3 linked regions of the Diceros bicornis minor genome follow. The protein of the gene in region 1 purifies or fractionates together with the protein of each later gene. This does not show direct contact. Links are inferred from orthologs where the notes say so. Each region holds a gene or a part of one and is shown on either strand. Other genes may lie near its edges. The genes, in order: UTRN, MARK2 and DTNA.

What was found.
Region 2: the proteins of UTRN (region 1) and MARK2 purify together in Homo sapiens (affinity purification with mass spectrometry; 4 studies listed by BioGRID and IntAct, with this or other methods). This does not show direct contact. The link is inferred for Diceros bicornis minor from reciprocal best matches to the Homo sapiens genes UTRN and MARK2.
Region 3: the proteins of UTRN (region 1) and DTNA purify together in Homo sapiens (affinity purification with mass spectrometry; 3 studies listed by BioGRID and IntAct, with this or other methods). This does not show direct contact. The link is inferred for Diceros bicornis minor from reciprocal best matches to the Homo sapiens genes UTRN and DTNA.

Annotation. Positions count from the first base shown.
Region 1 is NC_080778.1:23,466,212-23,473,293, reverse strand, and holds the start of UTRN (utrophin), read right to left. Parts: upstream 3,012-7,082; 5' UTR 2,855-3,011; intron 1-2,854.
Region 2 is NC_080770.1:9,074,031-9,081,462, forward strand, and holds the start of MARK2 (serine/threonine-protein kinase MARK2), read right to left. Parts: upstream 3,002-7,432; 5' UTR 2,495-3,001; coding exon 2,441-2,494; intron 1-2,440. UniProt on the Homo sapiens protein: Serine/threonine-protein kinase. Involved in cell polarity and microtubule dynamics regulation. Phosphorylates CRTC2/TORC2, DCX, HDAC7, KIF13B, MAP2, MAP4 and RAB11FIP2. Phosphorylates the microtubule-associated protein MAPT/TAU.
Region 3 is NC_080755.1:28,770,933-28,778,333, reverse strand, and holds the start of DTNA (dystrobrevin alpha), read right to left. Parts: upstream 3,044-7,401; 5' UTR 2,844-3,043; intron 1-2,843. UniProt on the Homo sapiens protein: May be involved in the formation and stability of synapses as well as being involved in the clustering of nicotinic acetylcholine receptors.

The sequences.
Region 1 (7,082 bases):
CCCCTTAAGAGCACCCCAAATGCCAATTAAATAAATTTATCATTTAATTGGGAGTATAACAGCCAATACATCCAAATATTAATCTGCAAATAATGGACATTAATTCACATATAACAAAAGATGTCAGAACCAGAGTTTACTGCCAGCTAGGATTGAACAACTCAATTCTTTGATTCAAGGACAACCCATACAGTATTATTATTTTATATTTCATTTTACATATTTGTGTAATATTTAGTATTTTATATATTATAATGTTTTATGATATATAACATCAAGGAAATACCATATAATATTAATTTATTATAATATAAATATAGGCTATACATAATAATTTTTTTTTCCTTGGAAAAACTTACCTTGGAAAAAAGTTTGAAGTGTTAAAGAGTTTGAGGCAGATGAAAACTATGATAGATTGCTAAAGCTTTATAACAATTTCCTCTCCAGTAGGAAGGAATATGTGGATTGGATCATGAGTCTGGTGGATTTTATGAGCATGTAAAAAACTTTTTTCATTTTTTACATTGGTCTACTACTGTTAATACTTTATGGATTAATACTCTATGGATTATTATGTGATTAAGTTCCTTTTTAGGGGTACGTGACTGTAAAGGATTTGCTGAATTCTTAAATTATTTTATTATATTCAAGAACCAAAAACTTTGTTCAGAAGAATGCATATAAAATTTTATTATGGAAAATCAGGTTTGCTCAACAAAAATTCTCTTTCCTGGAAAGCAACTAACTATTCCCTTTGAGAGAGATTTCTAATGCTCTCCTTCAGAATTGGTTTTAGCCAAGGGTCTTCATCTCAATACTTCCCATAGACCTTTCCCACTGCATAAAAGAGAAAAGCAAACCATTTACACAGGATCTTATTCCATTTGTGCATTAATATTTCTTCATTATGTTATTTTGCCACTCTCTTTAACATAATTTCTCAAATTTTCTCATCTTTTTTTTTTCTTTTGGTGAGGAAAATCAGCCCTCAGCTAACATCCATTGCCAATCTTCCTCTTTTTGCTGAGGAAGATTAGCCCTGAGCTAACATCCATGCCCATCTTCCTCTACTTTATATGTGGGACACCTGCCACAGCATGGCTTGATGAGCAGCACATAGGTCTGCACCCGGGATACGAACCTGCGACCCCGGGGGCACCAAAGCGGAGTGGGCAAACTTAACCACTACGCCACTGGGCCAGCCCCTACAAATCTTCTCTTCTTGATAATCAAAATCCCTTATATGCTACAAAGCTACAGCATAAAGGAGGATCAGAGGACAAGGAAAGAATAGGAAGGAGGGAGAATCACAGAAGATCCCTTAAACAGTGAGGGCCACTATGTTGCCGCAAATGGCCAGGGGGTTCCAGGCTGAGTAACCTATGGCAAAAGATGCCTTCTTCTAAATCGCTAAATGCTGTAGAGATCTATAATTGGTCCTCAGAAAACAGAATCAAAGTTTGATCACCAACACTGTGTGACCCTCCACTTCCACATCTATGAGATGGAGGGAAGGTCATCTTCCACACAAAGCCAGGGGAGAAACTGAGAACAAATCACAGGGATATTGCTTCACGAGCTTTAAGCCCTATGCAACTGTAATTTATTGTTCCCACTGCTCTAGCTTTCTGTTTCACCATAATGATGTTCTGCAAAGTTTAGCCAGCTCTTTCTCACCAAAACCAATACACTCAACTTTCTATTCACTAACTCCTTCTTTAGAACATTTCTGGCTGTCACACGGACCAGAAACCATGCGTGTGCAGCAATAAACCTGGCGTGAAAGGATGGGAGAAGGCCTTAAAGGCAAAACTGTTTTAATTTTAAAACCATTTGGAATTACACAACGCAAGAATACAAGTCTGCTCAATAATGTGCAGTTATGATGGAAATGCGGTGTCGGTCCTCGGGCAAAAACTATTCATTCATTTACACTTGGAAGCAAAACCTCGGAATGCTAGACATAGTGGAAAAGAAGTCCAAGCGGGCGACTTGGCCGCTCTGCTTGAGACATAGTAAAAGAAACCGCCCCTTGCCAAGAACTGCCATTCACTCGAGGAAGCGCTCCAAGGGAAGGTTAATAGTACAGTGATTAATACTGTTTACAGGGGCAATAAATTGTCAGTAAACACCCAAAGGAGAGTTAAAGAGCTGTCTCATCGGTCCCATAAACGCGGGTAAAGGGGGCGGGGACTGACTCCGCGTAAACCTTGGCCCTCGCCGCCTGGTACTCTGGAAGCTGAGACAGCCGCGAGCTTCGCATTCCTCCAGCTCTCGCCAGCCCCGCAGCGCTATCGGCAGGCTGCGTCCCCCGCGCCCACCGGCCCCCAGCCGGGAGGGGCCCACCCGACTCCCCGAGGCCCGTGCGAGTGACAAAGGGATGGATGCGGCCGCGAGCTCCGGCCCCGACCCGGGGAATCGGGGCTCCCCCGAACTCGGTGCGCTCCGGCCACGGCCACTGGTGCACTGACCCTCTCATACGCCGTATGGGGAACTGACCCGGGAGACCTTGGTGACCCAGGTGACCTGGAGGCTGGGAAAGAGGAGGCTCTCCCGGGACATCACAGAGATCAGGGCCGTTAGACCCAGGGTAGACCTGGGGCTCTCCAGTGCAGTGTAAAACAAAGTGCGGCACCCCCCCCCCCCTTAGCTCTTGGAGGTCGGGTACGTTTTCTCCTCTTGGAACAAGCCTGGAACGAGTCCCTTTCGTAATCTGGGGCTTGGGAAAAAAATTCTCTTTGAACAGCGTGCCTTCGAAAAGTTGCACAGCCTAAAATGAGTGCTGTGTTGGTTTTTTAAGTGGCCTTGGGCAACCAGAGCTTCCGACCCGGGGCCAAACTGGGGCATAAATTACCTTATCAGTTGCAGCAAGAGATGCCAAGAGTTCGGAAAACCAGAAGAGGCGACTGCGCGAAAGAACGCACGGATTGGGCAGCCCTCGTCCCCTCTCCGGAGCCCCACCTTCGGGAGCAGCAACGGCCTGAAGGTCAGGCACATTTCCTGCCAGGCGGACGGCTGGGAATCGCTCCCTGCCCGCCGCCCACACTGCCAGCCTCTCCCCACCCTCTCCGCGCGGACACCTCCGGGCCCCGCCTTCCCCGGGCTGGGGTGTGTGTGACAGGCACTGCTAGGAGGCCACGTCCCCTCTCGAGATCACTGGCCCAGCGCTTCTCACCGCGCGAGGCACGGAAGCGCGACCCCCTCACCCGGGAGGGGAAGAGGATTGGGGGAGCCAGGCAGCAGCACAGAAGCAGCTGGACGAGTTTGAGTCGTTTGCTACTATATGGATTCCGAGGATCTCCACGCGCGAGCTTTCTCCACGTTTCTAGCATTCTCTCTCCCGCCGAGGGGAGCTGAACTGAGGTTCCGAGGAAAGTGCACGCAAAAGTTGGTTACATCTTAGCCTCAGCCCTGAGAAGGAGCTCGGCATGCGGATCCTGGGCGCAGAAGCCGCAGAAAAGTCCATTCTCCCCGCAGCCCACACCCCGTTTCCTCGGGGCCGCGGTCACAGTCCCCAGCCCGAGGCTTCAATAATGCACGGGCTTACCTGCTCGCCTGACCAGCGGCCGCCCCCGCGTCCCGAGCGGGCCGGGGGCTCCTCTGCTGAGTTGGGTCGTAGTAATCGCGGAGAGTGTGCGCGCGTGGGTGATACGATGCACCGTTTTTCAAAAATGATATGTGGAGAACCAGACGAGGTCCGAAAGAAAAAAAAAAATTTGACACCCGATCGAAAACGCCCCTGACTTGTGCAATCTTCCTGCCTGGTAGTTCCGCCAAAAACAAAACAGTCCAAGTGCAAACCTGGAACCGGCGCGTAGGCACCAAGTTTGCCAAACACGAGAGTTTTCCGTCCGCAGAAATGACCCAAAAGAAGGGGGGCGCCGCTCCCCGTGATTCCCCAATCGGCTTCGGGAGCCGGAGGCTCCTCCTCGCCCCTCGGCGGGAGAAAGCCCGCGGCAGGCGGCGGCTGCCCGCTCCCCTCCTCCGAGGAAAGGCGACTCCACAACTTTGTGCGCGAGCGGCTCGCGCCTCCGGCTCCTCCTCCTCCTCCTCCCTCTCCTCCTCCTCCTCCTTCTCCCCGCCGCCGGCCTGCCCCTTTGTTGGAGCGCAGCGCAGGAGGCCGAGCAGGGAGGGTGGGGCGCAGGACCGATCGGTCGCGCGCTGCCGCCCCCTTGGCACCGGGCGCGCGTCCCCGCACCCCGGGGTCCCCTCCCCGAGGAGGAGGAGGCCGAGCCGGGCCGGGCTCCAGCGCTCCCGCTCCCTCGCGGCTCTCCCGCCCCGCCGCCGCCGGCCCAGCAACTTTGTCCTGCACGATCAGCCTCTCCCGGCTCCCGGTTCGGCCCCGGCCCGGCCCAGGCGGCCACCGCCGGCTGGGCTCCGAGAACGTGGCGCCCCGGGTCACCTGACCGCGCGCCCCGTCAATCAGCGCCCGCCCTGCGCGCCCTCCCCGCCCGCAGCAGCGGGCCTGGCGCTCGGTGGCCTGGGGCTGCGCGCCCGCCGGCTGCCGGAGCGAACTGTGCGTGCCGGGAGCCGGGAGCGAGAATGGATGCCGGCGCAGACACAGTCCCCTTTATTCAGATTATCCCAAAATGTGAGTCACGCCCCCACTCCAGGCAAACCGGGTAGTTCGAGGGATTGTTTTGTCCTTTAGATGTAAATCTCCATTAGCCCCTCCACTCACTCCATCTCAGTTTACTGACTTTTTGGTCCTAGTTCCAGGGGTGTATTTATTTTATATAGTTTTCTTAGTGTCGTTTTTTTTTTTTTTTTTTTTTTTTTTTTTTTTTTTTTTTGTGAGGAGATCAGCCCTGAGCTAACATCCGCCAATCCTCCTCCTTTTTTGCTGAGGAAGACGGCCCTGGGCTAACATCTGTGCCCATCCTCCTCCACTTTATATGGGACGCCGCCACAGCATGGCTTACCAAGCAGTGCGTCGGTGCGCGCCCGGGATCCGAACCAGCGAACCCCGGGCCGCCGCAGCGGAGCGCGCGCACTTAACCGCTTGCGCCACCGGGCCGGCCCCTTAGTGTCGTTTTTAATATTCAAAAAATCTTGAAATTTCGTTTCATATTCGTTCATACCTACAAATAGTGTTTACACAGACCTTTTTTTTTCTGTTTTTCCAATACACACACACACACGCACATACATCTATTCTAGAGCCTGTCTCAAGGCTGAGGCGGTGATCAAAAATATTTGGGAAGAGAAGAGTTTGTGCTGTGTATTTTTCTTATGTACATATTTCACTCCCCATGTGTTCCTGTGATTCTTTTCTATGATCATCACGCTTGGGAGGAGGAAGAAAAAACAGCAACCTAAGTTCCTAGTTCACATAAACAAAGAGGAAAGGGTGATTGATAAGCTAGCTTTGGCATGTTGCTGGTTTAATATTTGAAAGTTAACAGTTTACGAGTTAGTAAAGATAAGCCGCTAGGGGACTTAAACGAATTTTTCAGAAAGAATTTACTAGCCTTTTATGAGTTATAAAGTGGAAGGTTCCCCAGTCCCTAAATGCTGTGAGGGGTAGGAGGTCCTGAAAGATAGTGTTCCTTATAAAGTCGCTAGCTTAGCTTCCTTCCTTGGGGGGATTTTCTTCATAAAACCCAAATAAAATCCAGAGGATTAACTTGAAATGGATATAATTCATTCATTCACTTTTATTCGTTCATTCATCTAACAAATGCCAGTTTGGGGCCTTGAGGCCCCCTGAATACTGTGAATAATGCAAAGATAAATTCGATAGAGATCTTGCCTTGAACTTCAAATCTGGTAAGTGAGATATAGCACGTAAACAAGTAGGGATATATGCAAGATAAGTGCCCAAGAAAAAGACAGATCAAGTGCTACCTGAGTCTGGCTGTATCCAGGGAGACTGAGGTTTCTTTTAACTGATAATCCTACAGACCCTTAAACCTGCCCATCATGCACTGTCTCCCGGTTGAGTTGCTGGAAACTCAGATTTCCTCCTTTAAAATAAAACCATATTGGAGTGTTTGAGGATTTCCTTACTTAAAATTATGTAAATGAAAAAGCACTTTGTAAATTGCAAGGTACTATACAAATATTAATTTATTTAATTCAAATTTTTTGAAAAACACAGATATTTGGGGACCTGAGATTGCTGCATTTTTAAGCTCTGAGGGGAAGTTTAGTTAAGCTTCCCCGAAGGCCATAAGGAAAGGGGCATAAGTGATGACAGCCACCATCTGTGCGGGAGTGACTCCACCCACATCCCAGCTCAAGTGGCTTATGGTGCGTTCCCTGTGACCTGTGAAAGAGGCCAGAGAACTTCGTGTTGGTGGGATGACCAAGACATCCCAAGCTGGTCCTTTGTAAGTGGGGGAACCGCTTCAAGTGGGAAATTTTGACCACAGAGAGCTACGTTTCCATAGAACAGATAGTGGGGTCTTCCTTGACAGCCTGAGGACTGAGTTGGGGGGAAAGTGAACAGGTCACTAGGAGGTGGTAGCTGTTAGTACACCTGCCACCAACATGCCACCTGCAGCCCACATAGCAGGGACATGGGCCTATAACAACAGTGCTCCGTGGGGTTTTGTCTGCCCACGCCAAAGATGGATGTAGAACATTTGGAGAAAATGATAAGAATGTGGCCCTGGGTCTACCATCAACCCAAAGTTTGAATTGCCCAACAGTCACCACAGAACAGTGAAAATTTAAGAAAACTGAACTGCTCTCATGGGGATAAAGCACTTGACATTGGAGAAAATATTATGATCTGAGTAGTGTATGTAAAAAGTTAAAGACATGTGTGTATATATAATATAGACAGACATGATTCTACGTAGATATTGTTCATATACAGGGAACTGCGTCCTAATAAAAAAGCAAACTTTCTCTACTAAACTTTGTGTAAGAGTATATAAATGCATTTTCTCTTTGAACAATAGAAACGTGAGGAAATAATGTAACAAAAGCAAGACACTCCTTCCATTTTACCCTTGGTGTTGACGGTGAATGAAGCCCCACATGGAAGCATTTAGGAGAGGGACAAAGGTGAGAGGAACAAAGCATTAGGACAAATATTCACCTTTCCTTAACTTTTTCAAGCCAAGAAAGTAAAG
Region 2 (7,432 bases), on another chromosome or scaffold:
ATGTATGCAGGCACTGCCCCGGACCAAGTTATCAAACAGCAGCTTACACTCCCAAATGGTTCACCGATTACCGCTAGCATGAAATCCATGGTGTGCACCGAGTTCCTACTACGCGCTCAGCAGTATGCTGGGCATGTAGGGAAGAGAGGAAATCAATGCACACATCACAAGAAAAAGACCATGGTGGGAATACATTTACATTTAGTAAACAGCACAAAGAAACCACACTGAGGCAGTCTGTTACTCCACTTTGCTGAACACAATGCCCCCCACGGGCTCGCTGAGAGAGTAGGCACTCCACTCCAAGCCACTCCCCAAATGCCTGAGGGTGCCAGTCAGTCACTTGGCCTCCTCCTACCAGCTCACAATCAACAGTCTGGGAAAGTTCTCTGGTCAGGCAGGGTTCACTTGCTAAAACAAAGGTTGTGATGGGAAAAGGAATGGCACAGGCAACGTCAAGAGGGCCTGGAGAAAGCGGTTCCCGGTAAGGAGAGAAACAGCTGGCAAGCGAGGGAAAGCCTGTGGGATACAGACCATGCTCCTGTTTCCAAAGACCTCAGGCCCCTGCAGAACCAGCTGCCAAACCCAGTGATGAAATGGAAATCACCCATCCCTCCCTCTCAGCCCGTTTCAACCCCACAAGCAATCAATCCGTCAGTAATGAAAGGGTCAACCACTGCAGAGAGAAACTCAGTCCAGAACCACTGCAGAGAGAAACTCAGTCCAGAACTCCTCTTGAGTGTCTGACTGCCCAGGGGACACAGAGCCGGGGGTAACAAAAGAAAAGAACGTAGCAAAAATGAAAAGAGGGAAGATTTTTCAGAAAAGGTTAACATGCAAGAGACTATAACGACGGTTCTATTGGGCTCCGAAGAACTAAGGGAACAAAAGGAAAGCAGCAAGGATGTAAGGAGGGAAAAGGATGCAAAAAGCACTGCAGCCCCAGGGGAGAAGAGCTCCTTTTTCGAGTCAAGTTTTTTTGGCCTAGTAAAGTTCTCCACCAAGAAGGGCGTGACAGGCAGGGGACTCTCCACAGAGCAGTCAGCAAGGGACACTGGAGATGGTGAAACAAAGGGGAGAGGTGGAAGTGGATGCCTCTCAGCTCAGAGGTGAGATGACAGAGAAAAGGCTAAGGCTTGGGTGACAAATGACGGCAGTGATTGCCAGGATGAGAGGGAGCGTGTAGCTCAAGAAACGAGCATGCAAAATGCCTGGGCCCAGGAGTTACAAAGACTAGCCAATGGGAAGGGGATGGAGAGGGGCATATGTGGGGAAATAAACACGGTGTGAAGAAGGCAGGAGACTAATACCGAGATGAAAGGCAATCCTGATTAAGAAACACAGTAAGGATTATGAAGTGAGGGTAAAGAAACCGGAAGACAACAAGCAAGGAGGAAGATACTATGAAAAGTGACGGATCCGGGAGTGAAGCGACAGGAAGGCATGGTTTGTGCTGTGATGTAAGAAAACAGAAAGGCAAGGGCGGTGATGCAGCGAGGCCCGGGAGAGGACTAAGCAACAGGTTGTGTTAACGGAGTGGGGCTGAAATAGTGTCTTTCCCTCGGTAGGAAGAGCCCGGGGAGAAGGCTGGTAAGGCACCCACAGGGAGAAACAGGAGGCCAAGAGACTTAAAAGCCAAACTCTGGGGGGAAGAGAACGCGAGGGATCCGAGGACTTTGAAGGGAGTGACGACTGGAACCCCAGAGACAACCTGTGGGAAAACTATGCGCATGACAGCTGTATGGGAAACACGGAAGCAACAAATGCCAGCGCGAGGCACCAGGGAGCTCCTGGAGAGAAGAAGGGAAAGTGATGAGCACAGAGTAGGCGAGCGATTGGGAAAGGTGATGAGGGTAGAGCTGGTGGGTTGCAAGCAGGAGGGAGAGCGCAATTTGGAGAGGGCAGAAGCAGGGTAAAAAAGAGGAGGAACTGGAAGGGGACAGGGTTCAGGGATCGAGAACACACTCCGGGGAAGGACCCTGAGGGTGATAACCAGGGACTGGGAGAACCGGTGCGGGCGGAGGGGGAGCAAGGCGAGAGAGATGGAGGAAGGGGTGGACGACGATCTGGGGCACACCGCGGAGTGCTCTTCGAGGAGTGGGAGGGTGGCTGCTTTAAGCGTGGGTGGAGAAAGACCAAAAAGGCCCCCGAGAGAAAAAGGGAAGAGAAGGGGAAGCTGGGGAGGTAACACGGAAGAGCGCAGGAGGGCGGTGAGGGCAGAAGGGGGGTCGGCAGGAAGACAAGTGTGCAGCTTGGAGTCTGGACGAGGTGGGTCCCAAGACCGGACTCGGAGGGGGATGTGCGGGGCCGAGAGCCAGATGACAGGGCAGCCGCGGCTTGCAGGGTGGCAGCAGGGCACGAGGAGAGCAGAGGAGGGAGGAGGCTCCGCAAGGTGCAGGGGCCCAGCCAGAGAATCCGGGGAGCCCTCGGGGCTCCTTACCTGCTCCGTGTCCCTCTCGTTCAGCGTGGGTAGGGGGGTCCGGGCGCTGGACATGGCGCCGGTATCTCAGGGGAGGGAACCGAGAAGCTTGGAGGAAGGGAGGGAAGGGAAGGCGCGGAGCCCGGCCGGGCGGGGCTTCTCACAGCAGGGGCACCCGCCGCATGGGCCCCGGCCGGGGGTGCGGGGAGGCCGGGCAGCCGCTCACGCCAGCCCGGGGATGCGCCGCTCGGGCTAGGCCGCGCCGGCTCCGAGCGGCTCCGGACCGCACCCCCCCGACCCCCGGCTGGGCTGTGCCGCCTTTCGGCCGGGCCGCGCCGCTCCGCCTACTCTCTGCCGCCGCAGCCGGCCGCCCGCCTCGCTCCTCCCCTGCCCTCAGCGGCACTGCTCCGCGCCCGGCACACAGGCAGCCGCCGCCGGACCTGCTGCTCCCAACATGGCCGCCACCACCGCCGGCCCTCGGCTCTTTCCGCCGGCAGCAGCCGGAAACATCCGAAGCGGCTAGGAACGGGAGGGGGGCGCGCCTCCTCCTCCCGGCCACGGACTACGGGTGAATTCCGGAAACACCCGAAGAAGGTAACCCCTGGGGACGCGCGCGCCTCCTTGATGCCGAAGACCGAGTTTCGGCTCTGTTTACGGAAATCCACGAAGCCACCCCGGGTACTCCAGCCACGCCCACAGGCCTTTCCCCGCCCGCTTCAAGCTGGCGCTCGGCAGTTTCCGGAAACACCCGAAGAGGCTCTGCGAGCCGTGAGCCGGCCACGCCCCCGTCCCGCTCCGCTGCCGACGGCTGTCGTCGGCCATTTCCGGCAACACCCGAGGCCTGGCGAGCCCCGGGTCATTCCCTCAGGAGGTATCCAGAATCTGACTCTTCGTTTCTTTCCGTCAGTTTTCGGATATTTTCAAATCTTGAAAGGGAGCGTGGATCACCTGTGCTTGTTATTATTTGACTAAATAGAAAATAAGGCTGTCAGCGGTCCTTGCGATTGGCATCCTTCGGTTTTAAAGCAACTTCCCTTCTCCGCGTCCGTTCGTCCGTCTGTTGGTCAGCTCATAAAATCCATCTCGTTTGTCACCCAACCTGTCTATCAACATATGTCACCCGTCAAATGCAGTGTTAGCCTATTGTCTGTCTACTATCATTCATCCCCTGCCATCGTCTGTCTTGGCTTCTATTTATCTACCCATACACCCACATCAAGTCCGCAGGGCACCTCAAGGACCTGGGCAGACACTTGGTCAGCGTCCTTGGCTCCCAGCTGCGGGAGGCTGCAGAAGTCTCCCCAGCCCTGCATCCCAAGCCCAGTTCTGTGGACTGAAAATGCTGTGTGACCTTGGAAAAATCACGTAACATCTCTGAGTGCAGGCTCCTTGACCTCCCTATACTGAGAGAATCCGTGCCTTTGTTCCAGGGATGACATTCTAAATAACATCTTTAAATTCCAGTGACCTTTTAATTTCAAAAAAAATCTTTTAATTGTTCAAAATAGCACAAAATGACATCACACTGTGGTAATGTTGAGTCACACCAGTTACCTTTTTAAATACCCCTGTAAGGTAAGGCAGGAGAGAAATTCTCATCTTAATTCACATTTCAGTTATCCCTTCTAAGACAAGAAAACTCGTGGAAAAAGAGAGAGAAACTAGTTGACGATGAGGATGCCTCAGGATGGCACAAAGAATGGGCACCTGGAGAAGTTCCTTTCCTTCCCTGGGCCTCAGTTTCCCCATCAATAAAGCGAGGTCGCTGGATTCATGAGCTCTCAGGTCCCTCTCATTTTTGCAGAGCTCCTGACTAACAGGAAGTCCATGTGGCAAACTGAGCCCACTCTTCACTCCCCCTAGACTGTCTCATTGGGAGAGGCTGATCTGATTCCTCTGGCTCCAAGGGGCTCCCACCCATCAGATCCAGACATGTTGGAATTTGCCCTTGTCCCCCGCCTCCCAGGGCTCAACAGCAGCTTCAGGTGGGCAGAAGCCAGAGTCCCCCCAGAAGACAGAGACCAGGCTCAAGCATCAAGTCCCCAAAAAGGTACAGGAGCAGAGAGGCCCCAGGGATTGCGAGAAAAAGTGCTGGCTGGACCTCGGATGCTTCACTTCCAACTCCCAGCTACAGTTTCTAGAGCAGAGCCCTCGGCCAAGTCACCCAGAGAAATAGGCAGCCGGACAGACGCAAGGAGATAATGATATGAAAGTACTTCCTGAGGCGACAGGTACCACCTACAGACCTAGTAAATATCCGGGACTCTAGGACAACTCCCCATGCCCTGCCCCAGCTCCATCCAGGCACCCAGCCGTTGATGAAGGAACACAGGAGGAGGTGAGGACAAATAAGAGGAAGAGGTGAGGACAGGGGACATTCCACTCCCCAACCCCAAATTCTTCTCTGAAAATCCATGAGAATGATCTGCCCTCTGGTGGCCAAAGGGAGACACACTGCTGAGTCCTGTGTCCGGTGTCACCTCCAAGGGTCTGGAAAGAAGGAAGAAGGGGAAGAGGTTGGAGGAGCAGAGGAAGGTGTGCTCGGGGGTCTGCCAGGGCCCAGGTTCTCGTCTCAGCAAACTCTACCTTCTCCATCCTTGTCCTCGCTCGTGTTCTCACCCCTGCCCTCTGACCTTTAGCCCCCACCCCCACCCCACCTGTCCCCTCGTCTTCCTCACAAGGCTGCCTAACTGGTCTCCCTGCCTGGACTTCCTCCGACGTACTCCACCAGACAGGCCAGAATAATCTTCCTAAAGTCCAGCTCTAATTACATCTCTGCCTGCTGGAAGGTTCTCACCAGCTTCCTTGAGGGACAGGCAGGGCTGGCTCCATGGGCCTAGGACCTGTGCAGTCACACAAAGCCCTACTCTTAGAAGGGCTTTGAGTTTGATGTAATGCTCTGCTGTCATCCTCTTGTAATTTTCATCAAGGGGGCCCTGCCTTTTCATTGTGCGCTGGGCCCCAGACATTTCGTAACCAGTCCTGGAGGTAAAAAAAGCCTTTAGCCTGCATTGGAAGCTTTGCACAATCTGGCCCCAACTTAGCTTGCTAATATCCTCTCCAACTCAGCACTGCTGGTTGACACCTCCCCCCAGCTGCAGCCCGGCCACCAGGCTCTCTCACCTCCATGCTTTTGTTCAGGCTGATCAATGGCCAGTCACCTACCTCAGCTTCCGGACGTACTTCAAGATTCAGTTCAGATGTCACCTTCTCCAATCCCGGAGCCTTCCTAGTTCTCCTTAAAGATTAATTATCACTGCACATTTACCCCCCTCCAATCTGCATATTCATTCATTCACAAATCTCTATTGAGGACCTACTATGTGCAAGGCACTCTTCTAGGTGTATCAGTGAACAAAACAAAGATCTCTGCCCTTGGGGAACTTACAACTGCGAGAAGACAGACAACAGACGTAATAGTATTAAGTGTCATGGAAATAAAATAGAGCCAGCTAAGGTGGGTCAGGGTTGCTGGGGTGAGGGGGTAGAGGTGAAAGACTAAGGTGGTTAGTGTAGGCCTCACTGAGAAGGTGACACTTGAGCAGACTTGAAGGAGGTGAGGGAGTGAGCTCTGTGGATATCTGGGAGGAGAGCATTCTAGGCAGAGGGGATGGCCTGTGCAAAGGCCCTGAGGCAGGAGCGGGCCTGGCTGTTTAAAGAACAAGAAGGCCAAGGAGACTGGAGCAGAGTGAGGGGCTGAGTAGTGGAGAGGGCAGAAAGGGGATGTGGAGCTAGGCCACAGCTTTGGCTTTCCCTTGGAGTGAGATGAGGAGCCGCTGCAGGGACATGATCTGATGGGCTGCTGAGTTGAGAACAGAGCGAAGGGGCAGGGCAGGAACAGAAGCCTGGAGACCAGGAAGGAGGCTTTTACATAATTCAAGTGAGAGATGACAGTGGCTTGGGGTGGGGCAGCAGCAGTGGAAGCAGTGAGAAGGAGAAGGATTTGGGATATATCTGGAAGGTAGAGCTGACAGGATTTCTCGATGGATTGGCTTAGGGGGTCTGGGAGAGAAGTTAAGGATAATTCCAAGCTTTCCAACCTGAACACTAAAGACAAAACAAACACAAGAGTAAAGGCAGCTACCACAGGCCCTAGACCAGGTGGACACCAGCCAATAGGAGCCGTGCTCCAGGGCGGCCGTGATGCCCCCTGGGATCCCGGAAGGCAGAGGTTACGGGATTCCCAGCTCTGGCAGGGGAGCAATCCCCCTACATGCATGAGCTGTGAGGAAAGAAGTAAGAAGAGGTAAGAGTGCTGGAGTGGAAGACATCCTTGTTCTCATCCCTCCAAAACACTGCAACTCATCTTCACCTTTCTCCCTCCGACCGGAGGAGCCAGAGAGGATGCGCATTCCAGGCAGGCCACTCTGGGAGGTGCAGGATTGCCTCAGAATTGCCCTCTGATCAAGAGTCAGAAGCCGGGGGTGAAGCAAGACCCACCCACGCCCTCTGACTCGCCAGAGACCCTCCCATCTCGCAGAGCTTTATTTTTCTTGATGTCTCTGAATTTCCATCACGCGCTTTATCGACATTGACATACACCGTGTTGAATTTAGGACATTTGGGAGACGTTAGAATGTGAAAAAAATGTGCATCTTACAATTGATGGAATAGAATATGTTTATTATCGGTGCCCCCTGCCCAGCCACCACCAGGACGTGAACACAAGGGCTGGAACTGCCAGTCTCATTCCTCTGTCTTGGTTTTGCTAACACGCATCGAGAGCTGTGTACTGTGTGGACGTCACCACATTTAATTCTCAAACAATGTGCAGGAGGCACTGTGATTTCCCCCAGGTTACTAATAAGGAAATCGAAGCGTAGAGAAGTTTGGTCCTTTGCCAGTAGCAGTGGGAACGGGAGCATCAGCCTCAGCCCGTGAGAGGCGGGTAGTGTAGGGCAGTGAGCAAGCACAGACCCTGCCACCAGGCTGCTCCTTAGTATCTATGTGATCTTAGGCAAGCCTCTTGACCGCTCTCTACCTCAATTTTCCCATCTGTTAAATGGGGATAAT
Region 3 (7,401 bases), on another chromosome or scaffold:
AGCAGAGATGTACGATTCTCCAAAAACTAGAGGGATGGGACTTGAAAGGAAAAAGTCACGTCGTATCTACCAGGTGAGGTGAAAGCATCAAGGAAATGCTTTCTCTAAAATAAGTAACAGAAGCCAGAAAATGGAAACAGTTGAGACAGTTAAGAAAGGATATAGGTATGTATCATAGGATTTATGCTTTAATAACAATCAATAGTCACATAAATAGACTTGGAAAATTCAATTTCAATATCGAAAACACTTGTACCTGATGGCATGCAACTTTTCTGACCACAGCATTGCACTCTAGCATCCCAAAATAAAGATGTAGCCATAATTTGGGGTGTTGAAGACGTTAACCACTGAAGAGCAAGACAATTGTTTTCATATCCAAAGATCAGGTTTCTACATAGTTCAGTTGGATTCTAGTCTCTTTTCACCTATCATGTTGAATAAGTGTGGATTTGAAATAGTTATACTGAATTTAATTAAACCGAAAGACAAGAATTAAGGAAATCTATGCATGTCAAAATAATGTTGAAACTCATGTGAAGAAGCAATTAAATTTGCTTGAAAAAATAACAGATGAAGACTTAAGAGAGACATCTGTCCTATAAAATGAATATTATGAGAGCTCCATGATAAGCTCAAATGAAGAATAATTCTCTAAATATGTGCAGTTGTAGTTCACTCCACTGAGACCTTTCTTCACATGATGGTTCATTTAAAACAAATGGAGATTTTTAAACTATTTTGACTTAGGACTGATGAGAAAATTTGATTTTTAGTCTTCATTGCTACTTTGTATAAAGTGCATACAATTGGCTAAAACGCATGACATACACGAATACCCTCAAAATACAGCGTGCTTTTAATCAATGACAGTTAAAGAGAATTGCATAGTTCTTCTTTTAAAACTGCCTAACCTCTTGTCAGAGTGATTGGATTAAAGATGACACAACTTGCTCAAAAATTCTGCAAGATGGTGTTCTGAAGAAAATGATGGCCACACTTTGAGCAAAGAACAGACTAACACCTTAGGAGGTTTAGTGCAAACAAATATTTAGATTCAGCCATCTGCTTTATAATTATTAACTTTGCTGATAAATCTTAACTGCTGAAAACCTTAACTTTGCTGATAGATACACTGTTGTAATCTGTAACTGTTGTAGGAAACAGTTAATTGTGACAAAAAGAAACTACTCAAAGGATATGTGCCATAATTACACTATTAATTAGAAAAAGAGTTAATTGTCCCAAAGTGTTGGTTAAGAGTACACCAAAAGCCCAACTGGGCTCTAACGTTTAATAACCGTACAACTTTGGGTAAGTTATTTCACCTCTGTCTGGATTTCCTCATCTGTAAAAGGTGGTTAATATTATTACCTACCCCTTATGGTGGTGTAAGAATGAAGTGAACAGAGCTAAAGCACATAGAACTATGCCTGGAACGTGTGGAGAGCTGGGTTTTTTCCCTGCAGTTTCTACCTTTTCTACCTTCTAACATTTATTCTAAAAATAAATGTTTTTTTGTATAAGAAACCAATAACTGTATACTTCAACAATAAAGATCATTGTTATGAACCACAAACACACATTAAATATCAACTAATTCTAACAGATAACAGGAAAACTTAAACATCAACTCCAAACATCATTTTTTAGAGTAAGAATGAACCTAATGGTGGTAAGTTTCACTGCAAGTGTTTATCCAATATTTTTCCCCCAAGTTCTACACTTATCTTCTTAAAGTCAGACCCCAAGCCTGCCAAAGAGGAAAGTTTTACTACCAAGTCCCAGGCGTGGTACCATGGAGCCCCAGCACCGCCGTCCCCACCCCTTCTCTCTCCTTGGCTTTGGTGTTTTGACAGACACCTCTCCACCTCCCACTCCGGACACCAGAACGGACCTCCCGTTCGTCCTCTGTCCAGCGCAGAACTCCAAAGTGGGCAACAGGCTACAAAAGCTGCAGACACTCACCTCCGTACCCATCCGCCCCCCGCCGTCCCCAGTGCAAAGTGCCCACTCCCAGTCAGCCATGCGCCCGGGCACCGCAGTGCATTGCAACACGCGCAGACGCCGCTGGCTGGAAAGGAACCCATCGCGGATTTCCTGGTCAATACCCCCCAGACTGCTCTCCAACGTGCGAGTCATCCCCAGTGGATGTGCCCACGCCACCTCCCACCAGCTCAGCCCGAGAGGACGACCAAGAGGGCAGCAATGACAACAAAAACAACTCAACCCGAGACGCAAGGGAGCCGGCTGCCATCGCCAGTCCGGGAGCAGCGCAGCGGCGGCAGCCGGAGCTGCGGCGCGGCCCGGCCTCGGCCGGCGGCCGAGATTTACCTGCGCGGCCCCGCGCCCCCGGGCCGGCCATCCTGCAGCAGCCGCTACCGCCTCTCGGCTGGCCCGAGGCGCCGCCCGCCGCCCGGGGAGGCGCCGCGCCGCAGTCCTGGCTGCGGCGCCCGGCACATGCTTCGCGCTAGCCGCGGCCAGCGCCCGCGCACAGGTGGGAACCCCGCGAGTGGGCGTTGGGGCGATTCCCTTCCCCCGCCGGCGCTCGCCGCCCGCTTCCACTCTTGACTTTGCCGGGTGCGCGGCGCCTGCCCTTGCTCCAGCAGCCCAGCCGCCTGTGCCCGCGCCCCGGCGCCGTGGGCGGCTGCGGTCCCTGCGCATCGGGGCTGCGCGTCATGTGCATCTCCCGCCTCGCGGCTTGCTCCGCGGCACCGGGCGGCCGGGGGCAGCGCGCAGCAGCCCGGCCCGGCGCCCACTCCTTGCCCGGCACGCGGACCCCCTCCACCCCCGCGCCCTCCCCCACTCTGGAGCTGTCAAGGAAGAAAACGCCTTGCACACACCTTGGAATGGACGGGCGCCTCAGTCACCGACTCGCCAAACTCTTAGAAGGTGTCCATTGGTCTGTAGGGAGGTTTGGGCATGGAGTAGGAGCCGCTTTCTTATTATTTAATAATGTTGGAAGTGCCGGGTCCGCTGCCAGAGTTGTGGGTCATGTGGGCACAGCAGAGGCTGGCTGCTGCCAGTACCAGGGTTTCCTGAGGATCCTGAAACTATGATCTCATCCTCCTCATCCGCCTCCCCCGCCCCTCTCTCCGCGGGCGCGCACGCACAGCACACACACACATACACACACATGCACACACACGCACACACACTCACACTGCATGCACTATCCTCCTTCTTGGACCGAAATATTCCTCCAGGGAAATACAGTGTTCACACTCTTCATTGAAGAAAAAAAAATCCATCCGATAGAGATTTTTCTCTTTCAAAGCTTGATTTATGTGCTTTGTTTATTTTCTACAGTTTTCCCTCACACGTGCATGGGATCCGAACAGAGCCTCAGAATTAAAATTAAAAATAATCATCCTCTTATGTTGACCCAGATTTTGGTCAGAACCCAGGGACTCAAACAGTACGATTTCAATTTAAAACAGAGGCAATAATGTACCAGGCTTCAATATGGAGTAATAATAATATCTGAGATGTATGCAGTGGTTTCTTTTCCAAGGTGCAAACATTTCCTAAACATTACCTCATTTATTCGCAGAGCATCTTCCCAAAGGAGGTGGATGAGAAGGCAAATTGTCACTTCAGAGACACAGAAGTGTAGGTCAGATAACACGACTTATCCAAGTACACATAAGTCAATGTCTCACTATAAATATTAATTGCACAGCTACTCACAGGTTGCTTATTCACTATGATCAATGCCTGGAAACTCAGATTACTGAAAATAATGGAAATATTCTTGATTGTTTTTAAGTTATCTACTATCTAAGATTGCAAATTTATTTTTCTATATGTATATGTTTTCACATAATTTTCTCTTGTGTATTTGTATATATCTCCAGTTTCATGGTTTCGTATAATTTTCTTTCCTTCCTTTGTTGGGGGTATGTGTATGTGTTATATGTCTGTGTATCTGCATGTACATTTTTATTCCTTTGCATTGTTATAACTCCTTAGATAGTAATATCAAGCAATTACAGTCAGTGTTTTTGGGGTAGTCACCAATTTCATAATGATTTGTATATTTCACTCAAACCCCTTTTAAGTGCCTGATGTATATAAAGAGCTGTGCTATGTTTTGAAGGATATAGAGAAGTTTAATACATGGAACCTGTCTTCCATTAGTTTATGTCTAGCTGTTGAGATAAGATATATATACTAAATGATCTACAGGTGAAATGCTTTGTTCTTTTTGGTGTTATGAATTATCACAAAGTACAAGATACACTCCTTTTCTTTTTGCCTACTTAATTTCTGTTCCACATTAAAATTAGTTCATTTGTCTGTGTGCCCCATATTTCAACTTGTCTTTGACCTCCATGGTATCTCAATGGCCAAGGTAATATGTTAACTTTGCCATTCATCTATACACGCACCACAATTACATAAACACTAAGTGGGGGATTTGTTTTTATATTGTAAAAGTTCTCACGAAGAGCAGTTGGCTTTGTTCAGGCATATATAAGAAAATTCAGCAGCTAACCAGTATTCTAATAATCCAGAGAAAAGAGAAATGGTGTGAGAGAGAATAGATCAAGGAGAAGGTAGAAGAGTAAGCAGTGAAAAGAAGAGAGGAAGGGAAGAATAAAAGGGAATCAAGAAATTACAAGAAGAGGGAGAGAAGAAGAGAAAAAAACAAAAGGAGAAGAAAAAGAGGATCAACTTCCAAGTGAAAGCTAAAATTTTCTAAATTTTGCTGCATGGAAAGCAAATTTAGAAAATCATAGACTTTCTTGTTGTTATCAAACAATATTTTTTGACAAGCTTACAAGAATTTAACGGCAAAGACACCAGGCATTGATCCTGTAGTGGCTACCCTGAATGATCTCAATTTTAAAAATTGAGTGGATTTGTGTGGGTTTTTTTTTTTTTGGTGAGGAAGATTGGCCCTGAGCTAACCTCTGTGCCAATCTTCCTCTGCTTTGTATGTGGGACGCCACCACAGCATGGCTTGACGAGCAGTGTGTAGGTCCACGCCCAGAATCCAAACCCACGAACCCCCGGCCACCGAAGCAGAGTGCATGAACTTAACCACTATGCCATGAGGCTGGCCCCTGAGTGGATTTTTTTTTAATGGATTTTTGTTAAAAAGTGGATTCAAGTATAGGATCCACTAGAAGAAATAAATAGACTGACCTATCAATATAATGTAATAATAAAAATGACAATGGGATCAAATAGTCATTATATACAAATATATAAGTCATTATATACAAATTTTTAAGAAGAAATTAACATTGAAATTCAGGGAGATAAATGAAAAATCAAAGTCACAGGTCTATTAAAGTGGGCAATAAAAAGTTATCCTTGCAATATTTAAAGCAAAATAATAGTAATAATAATATGTTACATTTTGAAAGTACTTCAGATTTTCAAAGTGCTTTTCATACAGTCTCTATTGAGCCTAATAATAATTAGAGGTTGGCACCTTTGTTGGCTTCATATGAAAAGAATACAATAATTCTCCCTAGATTTCTACACATTGAATGGAGAAGTGCTGAAAATTTTCACTCACTGTTTTGGAAATACCGTTTATATTTTCTGGTCAGTCAACCTTAAAGATTTTGCTCCGTATGCTTTTCTCCAGTCCCCATAAACAATACAACTAGATGGATTCCTGGGCATAGATCACAACAGTGATTTTTAATCCAGAATTTTACACAGGCTATTGGAGTTAAGCTAGAAGCTTTAGCATGTAGCGGACACTAATGGCTTTGCAGTATCTCTGGGAGATTTCTGCTCAAGGGGTAGAGGCCCACACTGAACAGCAATATATCAAGAGCCCTTTCTTTTTGATCTGCATACTCAGGACAGATTTTTGTTTGTTTCAATTTTTATTTATTTATTTAATTGAAGTATAGTTGACATATAATATTATATTAGTTTCAGGTATACAATGGTGATTCGACATTTATATATATTACAAAATGATCACCACGATAAGTCTAGTAACCATCTGTTACCATACAAAATTATTAGAGATATATTTAGGTTTGATGATTCTAACGTTTCAGAAATGCATTACAACTTCAGTGGCTCAACAATCACTAGCAGTTTGTGTCAGAAAATCTTCATTTAGGGAAAAATATGTTTAATATGGCTATGCACATATATTTGTGGTTCATACTAATTTAGGCTATTTTTACCATGGAAAATAAATTACTGATATTTATCTTGCTCTTATAATTTCTTGATTTTTAAAATAGGTTATAGTTGAAATGCAAATGGCCATAGGTAAAATCAGAATGTTCACTATGTTATAGTGAAACTATATGTGTGTGTATGTGTTTTACAAACATAGTAATATAGAGAGTGTATATGTGTTATAGGTCAAATCAGAATGATTACTATTATCTATTAGTCGGTAATAGTTTTGTTGCATGAGGAAGTAGTAATTTTGGAGTATTTCAAAGACTTGCATGACAAGAGTATAAGAAGTAGATTCAAAAGAGTTGAACAAGTAAACACATTATTGTTTTATTAATTAGAAACTCTTATACCCACTGGATGTAGACTGATGTTTCAAGGAAGGATGATATTTGCGCTTGAAGAACACAAAATATACATAAATTCTTCTCCCCCAAGAAACTAATTAGCTTTCAAGAATGAAAAGTACATTAGACCTCCAACACAGGTCAAGAAGATGGATCAACTGAGCTGTGACTTGGGGAATTAATAGTTAGATTTTTTTGGTGTGAGAGCTACCAGATTTTGAGGTCAATGTGGACCCCGGGTAGAATTATCAAGTAGGCGAGTTTTGTTCCTGTCCATTTTTTGTTAATGTTCCCCTCTTCCCATAGAAGCCCTACCTTCTCTCTGGCTCCCAAAGGCAGTCAGAACCCTTTGCTGTTTTCCAACTTTTCACCACATTCCCATTTTGGAACTCATCAGCCTCAGACAGAACATCACTTCTGACCTCCCCTGAAATGTGTACATTGTATCCTAAGCATTCATGAAACTTGAGGGGAGAAGTTGTGCTTGTATTAATAAACACCAAGAGTGTTCATTCGGTATCTTTGCATCACTTCAAGATGCCTATTTATGTAGTTAAAGTTAGTATCCATTTGCCTGAGAAATTCTGCTTTGAGGCATGGTCCTGTCAGCTCTTAGGGAGTAATTGCAAGTCAAGGAGGGCAGAGGTATTCTTCCTTTCATCCCTCCTAGGCTCCCTGCCGTCTCAGCTAGGCTGAAGCCTCCGGTACACAAGGCAGTGCCTCATAACTCAGCTGCTTCTGGCAGTACCTATTATGGTGCTCAGCCACAGTGTCTTGGTTGATTTTCCCATCTGAGTAACATCCTCAGGAGAAATGCTGTTTGCATTCTCCCTGTTCACCTCGGACTGCAGGAGAGAACATAACCTAAGAATGGTATTAAGTGGTCAAGTGT